Linked DNA regions of Caenorhabditis elegans. The protein of the gene in region 2 interacts with the protein of the main gene of each other region in a pairwise test. Each region holds a gene or a part of one and is shown on either strand. Other genes may lie near its edges.

Region 1 (4,908 bases), on a different chromosome or scaffold from region 2:
TTGCAGTTCTGAAATAGTAAAATACAGATTTTTGAAATAATTTATAGAAGGATTCGGGGGGTTTTTGCTCGTAAAGACTCAAAAATGAGCTCAAATGGACGAATTTCGTAATAGAACTGCTCAAGAAATTTTCAAAATTTTGTATTTTTTATGCCGGTTCAAAATTTCGAAATATTATATAATTACACTGATTTTAGCTAAATGCTCGAACTTCGGCCATTTTTCCGTGTTCCAGCTGTCCGAAATTGACTTTTTTGGAATTGTCATCCTTTTTTTGCATATTTTGGTAGTTTATATCATTTAATTTCGTTTATTAAAGTACATTTAAAGCCTATAAGTAGCCAAAAATCATAAAAAACGGTTACCTATCGTCTTTAAATGTACTTTAACAAACGAAATAATATGAGATAAAGTACCAAAATATTCAATAAAGGACGAGAATTCCAAAAAAGTCAACTTCGAACCGCTGCGACACGGAGAAAAGGCCAAAATTCGAGATTTTAGCTAAAATCAGTGTATTTTTTCGAAATTTTGAACCGCCATAAAAAGTTTTTCAAACATTTTCGAGCAGTTTCAATACGAAGTTCGATTATTTGAGCCCATTTTTGGGGGTATACGTTCAAAATCGTCCGAAATCTTCCTTAAAGGAGGATTCGGGGGAATTTTTGCTCGTAAAAATTAAAAATGCGCCAAAATACACTAATTTTGAAGATATAATTCTCAAAATTTCTGAAAAACGGGCTAATTTCAGTTAAAATCTCCAATTTTATCAATTTTTCCGCGTTAGGACTGCTGCAATGCAGTTTTTATCGAATTTTCATATTTTATTTGATCTCACGTTATTTCGTTATTAAAAGCAAACACCAAAGATAATAAAAAATCGGATACCAAACCAAAAAAAAAATGCAATAAAGACTGTATTTATACTGTTGTAACGCAAAAAAAGGAGCAAAATTGGGGATTTTGCCTAACATCAGGTGTTTTTAATTTCGAAGATTGTCTCGCAACAGCCGGAAATCGATTTAATTCAATTATAATCATATTTTGCCGTTTTTTGAGGAATTTTCAGTCGATAGGCCCCTTATTCAGTGCCTTTGGCCTGAAAATGTATCTCAATCGGAGAAAATACGGATAAATTAAAAAGAAAATTAATTTGCGGTTGTTGTGACACCGATAAGTTGACGAAATTGGAGATTTTAGCTGAAATTAGTGAATTTTTTAAAGCATCTTGATTTTTTTCTCGTTAATTTCGGAATAAAAACCTTCGAACTCCAATATCGAATTGTTCAACGGCGCATAAAACTGAAGAAATGAAGCCTTTTCGTTTAATCATCACTTCGGCTAATCGTTCTCCTAATTCATCGGATTCTGAAGAATCGTCGTCTGTTGACAAAACGATTGCCATCGTGTCGAGCACAATTGTCATGGCTTCGGTGTTCATGCGATCTGTTTCAAGCACGTCAATGAATGCATTCATTCCCATTGTTCCGACGGCTAATCGATATTTCTGAAATTACACGTTTAATTTTAATTGTTTAATTTTAATAGTTCAAATGATTTTTTCTCTCACCTTTGCGACACCTTTCAGCCCTCTCAACGCATCTCGACGGTCTTCTGGTGCCGTACAAGTTTCTGCTCGTTCCACAAGTGTTTCTACATATTCAGCTCCATTATCCTCGTCTTCATCTTGCTGTCCGCCGCCAAAAAAGTTCCGAAACAGCGACATCTGCAAAGCTACACGTGGCAGTGAGCGGAAAATGGGATTGTCGTGTTGTTGAGCGAATATAAATGATAATTAAATGCATTTTTTAATTTAATTTATTTATTTCTAAATATTTTTCTTTATTTTCTGAATTTTAACATAAAATAAATGAAAAAAAACGGGAAAAAAAGAAGAGAAAAGTGGAAAAACCTGTCGTGGAATTGGAGGATGCGTTCTCAATGGAGCGCGCTTGCTGACTCTTTTCGGACTTCGTTTTTTCGCTTGCAGACGTTGACGGAAATTGCTCTGAAAAAAAGATCTGCTCAAAAAGTGAATAAAACAAATATTTCAATTGTTTTAATAACAAAATTTGCATATTCAACTGAATAATAATTATACTGAATTCAAGAATTTCAAAAAAATTGGAGAAAGTTTGGGAAACAGATGGAAATTTTCAATAAAATCGTCGAGAAAACATTTTCTGTCAAAATCCGGATTAAATCCAGAAAGAAGAGTACCAGCTGCCCACGAAAATTTCGGGTTTTCCCCCAAAAGAACAGTCTTGAGTCCTGACACGATCGAAACTTTTCAGCTAAATACCGTACACGTGGCTCAAGCCAGTGGTCACGGTGTTTTATTTTATACTCATACCCAACATTTTGCGATTTTTGCGCCAAAAATACGGTTCCTGGTCTCGACACGACTTTTTTTTTGTTATATTCAAACCAGGGCGCGCCTTTAAAGAGTACTGTAATTTCGAACTTTCGTTGTTGCAGGGTTTTCATCGTTTTTTCATAGTTCTTCGTTAAAAAAGGCTGTTTTTATTTTGTAAAAAACTGAAGTAAAACAATTAAAACACATAAATTTTAAGAAAAACAATGAAAAGTCGAATAAAATGCCGCAGCGACAAAAGTTTAGAATTACAGTACTCTTTAAAGGAGAGCACCCGTTTCCATGCAACGAAAAATTGTCGTTTTGAGACCAAGAACTACCGTATTTTTCGCGCAAAACACATAAAAATTGCAAAATTTCCCGTCTGGCTAATATCTTTAATAAATATAAAGCATAGATTTTTTATAAATTGACAGGCTATTTTCAAATATTAAATTAAAAAAAAACAAAAATCAGCGCTAATATGCTCAATTCAAAATTTTTTAAATTGAAAAACATTGGTTAAAAGTAGAAATAACAATAAATCAATATATTTTGCAACAACTTTACCTGAGGCAAATTGAAAAACGCATTGGAAATTGTCGTGTCACTGGAAAACGATCTAACTGAAAGAGTTGATCCGGTAATTGAAGACGTTGAATAAGCGAACATTTCGATTGAATAAAACTATCGGCTCAGAGAGTGTTAGAGTGCGTAAAAGTGTAATGTAGGAAGAGGGCACATTGAGTGAGTTGATCGGGAGAGAAAAGTGAAGAGAAAACGGATAGAATAACAGAATACTGTTACTTCAAAATGTTTTGATTACGGGTAATGTATACATTTCGATATATATTAGCTTTCAGGCAAATCAACAAATTACTGGAATTGAAATTTCTGGCAAACTTTATTTTATTTTATTTCAATGTGTTTCAATGTTCAAAAAAAGAAAAATTTCCGAATATACTTCAAATATAATTCAAATAAATGCCCAAGTTAGAGTACTCAGATAAATCGAACCACGCAGGCACCGCTCCAAACCACGCAGGTGACTGCCCACCACGCAGTCAACGCGTCAAGACCACGCAGGCAACCAAAAGCACGCAGGTGACGCCTAGGAACCACGCAGGCGACTTGACGGTGGGCAGCTATTGGCAGTGGCTGCAAAACCACGCAGGTGACGCCTACATACCATGCAGGCAGCCAACGTTCAGCCACGCGCGGGATTCCTAGGCCAATGGCTGCGTACTCCTCTTGGACAACTTTTTCTTCTATTTTTTTTTCCTAATTTAATGGAATTTTCCGTTTTTTTTCTTGCAAAAAGCACTTTTATATTAATTTTCAATTTCTTCATGAAACTCAATAATTGTTTTCAGGTAAATATGTCAACCCCGGCCCGAAAAACCCCAAAAGGAGGCCGAAAGCGGCGTGGCAATGGACTGGAGGCGCCGCATTCGATTGGTCGCTTCAACGTAAGATAAACTTTATTTTTAAAAAATATATAGCAACAAAATTTCAGAAAAAACCTTCGGAATCGTTCGTTCGAACTATGGACTGGGATTTCAAAGAGCTTAGGAAAATCGCGGAAAATTCCAAGTCAAAGGTGAACAGAAGTTTGGCAGCTGCACAAATTCTCCAAATCCAGATGTAGTTAAAATAGTTCACTTTTCAGACAATTCCTCCAGAGCTCCTCCACACCTTCAGTGTCCACCCAAATTCGGTGAATCATCAGATTCTTCAAGGAAGACTTCTCAATTGTCCTATCAGTAAGCTATTCTTGTCCAATTTTTTTTTAAACAAAAATTTTCAGGCGTTCTTCACAATATTCTACATGTTGTAGCCGGATTCGAAGGACAGTTCCCGAGTGCGGATTTTGGCGATGTTTTCTCCCGACAGGTGGATCAAAAATGGTAAACACCCTTCTATCAATTTGTATTTCCAAAAATCAATAATATTGCAGCTTGAACGCACGGAAAAAGATGAGCCAGGAAAAGGACACACCATCACACTGATCACTGGGACGAAAACAACTGCCTAATGGACTTAATTTTGTTTCCCACCTTTTTTTGTTGTTATTTTTGAGATTTTCGTACTTTGCGTTTTAGATGGTTAAACGGTAGGAAGGGGAAGGAGCGGGCTGCGAACTGCCATTGCTGCAAGACCACGCAGGTGTCGCCTCCAAACCACGCAGGCAACGCGTTGAAACCACGCAGGGACTGGCATTCTTGAGCGTGGTTTGTACGCGTTGCCTGCGTGGTTTGGAGCGGTGCCTGCGTGGTTCGGTTTATCTGAGTAGTAAATTTTAAGGTCTTTCAGCATATACCAATAATATTCCAGTAGGTACAAGAAGCTTCACGTAGTTACAGAAATAGTACATTTTCAGCCCTACCTTTTAGTGCGTATTTTATTATTTAATGAAAACTACCATTTATAGGCAAAAATAGATGAATTTTCCAAACTTTGAAAATTCATAAATCTTTTGAAAGTAACTTTTTTTGAAATGTCTTTCAGAAACTTTGTAGTAAATTTTAAGCTCTTTCAGCATATACCAATAATAT
Region 2 (2,817 bases):
CAAAAATGATTATTAAAATTGTATTGATTTTTTATTCAGATTCGCAAATATCAACTAAATTTTTATAATTCCAAACAATCATAAAAACACTTAACAAAATACATCAAAAAATTAAGCGGGCCGAACCGGGGATCGATCCCGGGACCTCTCGCACCCTAAGCGAGAATCATACCACTAGACCATCCGGCCACGTTTCGAGCTGATATGTATTGTAGTTTTCCTGAAATAACCATATGCATAATACATCAAAAGCATATAACCATTCGCTACAAGGAAAAAAGTAAGTGGGCCGGACCGGGGATCGATCCCGGGACCTCTCGCACCCTAAGCGAGAATCATACCACTAGACCATCCGGCCACGTCTCGTCGTGAACGCCTCTTCCTACACATGCACGCTCTCGTGAATAGCGCTCTGCGTGTGGTCGACTAGTCACAAACCAATAAACAAGTCTATCTGCGTCTCTACTAAACAAGAAAACTCTGAACGCAGTAAGCATTGACCTTGAAAATGCAGAGTATGACTTTTTCGAAAGTTTTGGTTAGGAATAGGATTTCTAACAATCAAAATTGCTAATCGTGAGAAATTGTTTTAATATAATTCAAATTACTTTTCATAATTATTATAATTTTCACAAATTGTTAAACTCGTAGAAGATGATGTAAATATGAATGTATTCCGCGATCAAATACATTAATAATACATAAAAAAATATTCAAAGCCTTTTCTTACAATTCCCCATAATTTTACTGAATGTGTCTCACGATTCGATCAAAATACAAGTTTTCAAAGTTACATGCTGAAAATGCTTAAAAGAGTAAAAGGAATGGGCCGAACCGGGGATTGAACCCGGGACCTCTCGCACCCAAAGCGAGAATCATACCACTAGACCATTCGGCCACATGTTTCCAATGTCAAAATCATGTGAAGACACTAGGTGGTCAGAGAACTGATCCGCAAACATGTTCGGAATAGAACAGGTGCGAAATGCATAGGCGCAGAAAATCTTAGCTAGGAAGTGTATTGATCGGCCTTTCTGGTTTGCAAAACGGACTGAAATAGTTATTAAAATTACACGGATTCAAGAACTAATACACAATAAAATTCATTGAAGTTGAAAAACAAAATTAAATCGTAATTGAGTTTCAAAAGTCTGTTAAAATTGTAAAAGAAACTTACAGACCCAATAGGGTTGAAAGTTGTCCGGATGGCTCAGTCTGGATGGTTGTCGCGGTCAAACTTAAGGTCAGCATTTCTTACCTCCAGACTACAGCCAGTCTTTCCTGAAAAGTCGAGCGAAGCTTGGATTTAACTTACAACAAGACCGACGGAGAGCAGACTGGCTTAATTCAAGAAAAAGTTTTGAATTTTAAAATATTGCCCTGATCTTTTCCATTCTTCCTGATAATTTTTTTGACGTTTGTATTTGATTGGCATTCCAGTTTGACATTTCGATATTATTCCTATTATAAATTCAAATGAATGTAATCTTCCTTCCCATTGAATCATCCAGAAGGTCATGTCCATGATCTATCCTCATGACTCATGGATTGCAAAGAAAGTTTCAAAATATACACTGAAAACGCCCTCGTTTCTTTTTTGTTCATTCGTTTCCATATACGTCATTGTTTGCTCTTCTCTATGGAAAAACGAGAAACTTCTTCTGACAATGCAAACTGATAACCGTATCACATTGTGAAACCTTCTCGTTTTTGAGGCAATAGGCGGATCGCAAACTAACAACTCACAATCGATCGTTTTTCAACCTTTCTGTTTGATTTTTTTCCCTTTTAAACCCCTCAACTTACACTTTTTCTTCAGATGTACGGCCGTCGCACGTGCAGTTCTTCCTCCTCAAGTTCTTCCTCTAGTGACGGTTCTTATCGTTCCCCAGTTGGCTTCGGTGTTACTCCAATTATGCCTCTTCCATATGGAGCCCCTCCACCACCAGTTGGCGCCGGAGTTGGATATGCTCCACCGCCACCAAGACCTTACGGAGCCACATATGCACCCCCACCACCTATGGGAATCGGTGCTGGAGTGAATCCTAGTGGATATGTCCAACAAGCCCCACCACTCCCAACCCAAGGATACTCGGCGTACAACCAACAACCACCTCCACTTCCACAGCAACCCTATCAAACTAACATGTATCCAAGCAACCCAGGATACTCAAGCACACCAGGCTATCCACAACAGCAGCCATATCAAATTGGAACCGGAGCCACGCCAGCCGGTATGTACCCACCACCACCAACAGGGCAATATCCTCCACCTCCACCCGGACAGTATCCAGGATATCCAAGACCATATTGAGTTAATATGTAAGCTTTTGTATACCTTTTGTACTACTAATCAATTTAATATACCATGTTTTTTCTTGCTGTTTGAATTGCCAAATAAATGTTAAAACTGTTCAATGTTCTTTTCAAAAATTTTAAGAAATACTCCAACAACTATTGGTTGGTTTGAGTGTCAGTGGCACGTGGAAATGTTTGAAAATTACCTTTAGAATAATTTTACTTGATTTGTCTATTTATGCATTCAACATTTATTGTTAACTTTCATAAATCCTATTGTTCCAATAGATGCAATATTGGACACATAATCAACTTGTCTAAATTAGTTCTGATTGTGGTTTGATATAACAGTTCGATACTATAGGTCTAGGAAATATTCGATTCGATGTCACAATATTAAACATAAATCTTCAAGTGATTTCTGTGAAAATCAAATGAATTCTATGATCTCCAGTAAGTCGGACGCTAATTCAACGAGTATTATTTGATTATTACTGGAACCCATCAAAGCAACTCTGG

What was found. Proteins that work in one complex are often made in the same cells at the same time.
Region 1: the proteins of C16B8.3 (region 2) and uso-1 interact in a two-hybrid assay, tested with the Caenorhabditis elegans proteins (2 studies listed by BioGRID).

The regions. Positions count from the first base shown.
Region 1 is NC_003282.8:13,451,774-13,456,681, forward strand, and holds the start of uso-1 (Uso1_p115_head domain-containing protein), read right to left. Parts: upstream 3,026-4,908; coding exon 2,924-3,025; intron 2,009-2,923; coding exon 1,913-2,008; intron 1,727-1,912; coding exon 1,571-1,726; intron 1,508-1,570; coding exon 1,263-1,507; intron 9-1,262; coding exon 1-8. Other genes in the region: Y38H8A.7 (uncharacterized protein), read left to right, coding at 3,733-3,822, 3,870-3,953, 4,023-4,116, 4,161-4,260, 4,311-4,362.
Region 2 is NC_003284.9:3,967,637-3,970,453, reverse strand, and holds C16B8.3 (Annexin A7), read left to right. Parts: upstream 1-1,819; coding exon 1,820-2,314; downstream 2,315-2,817.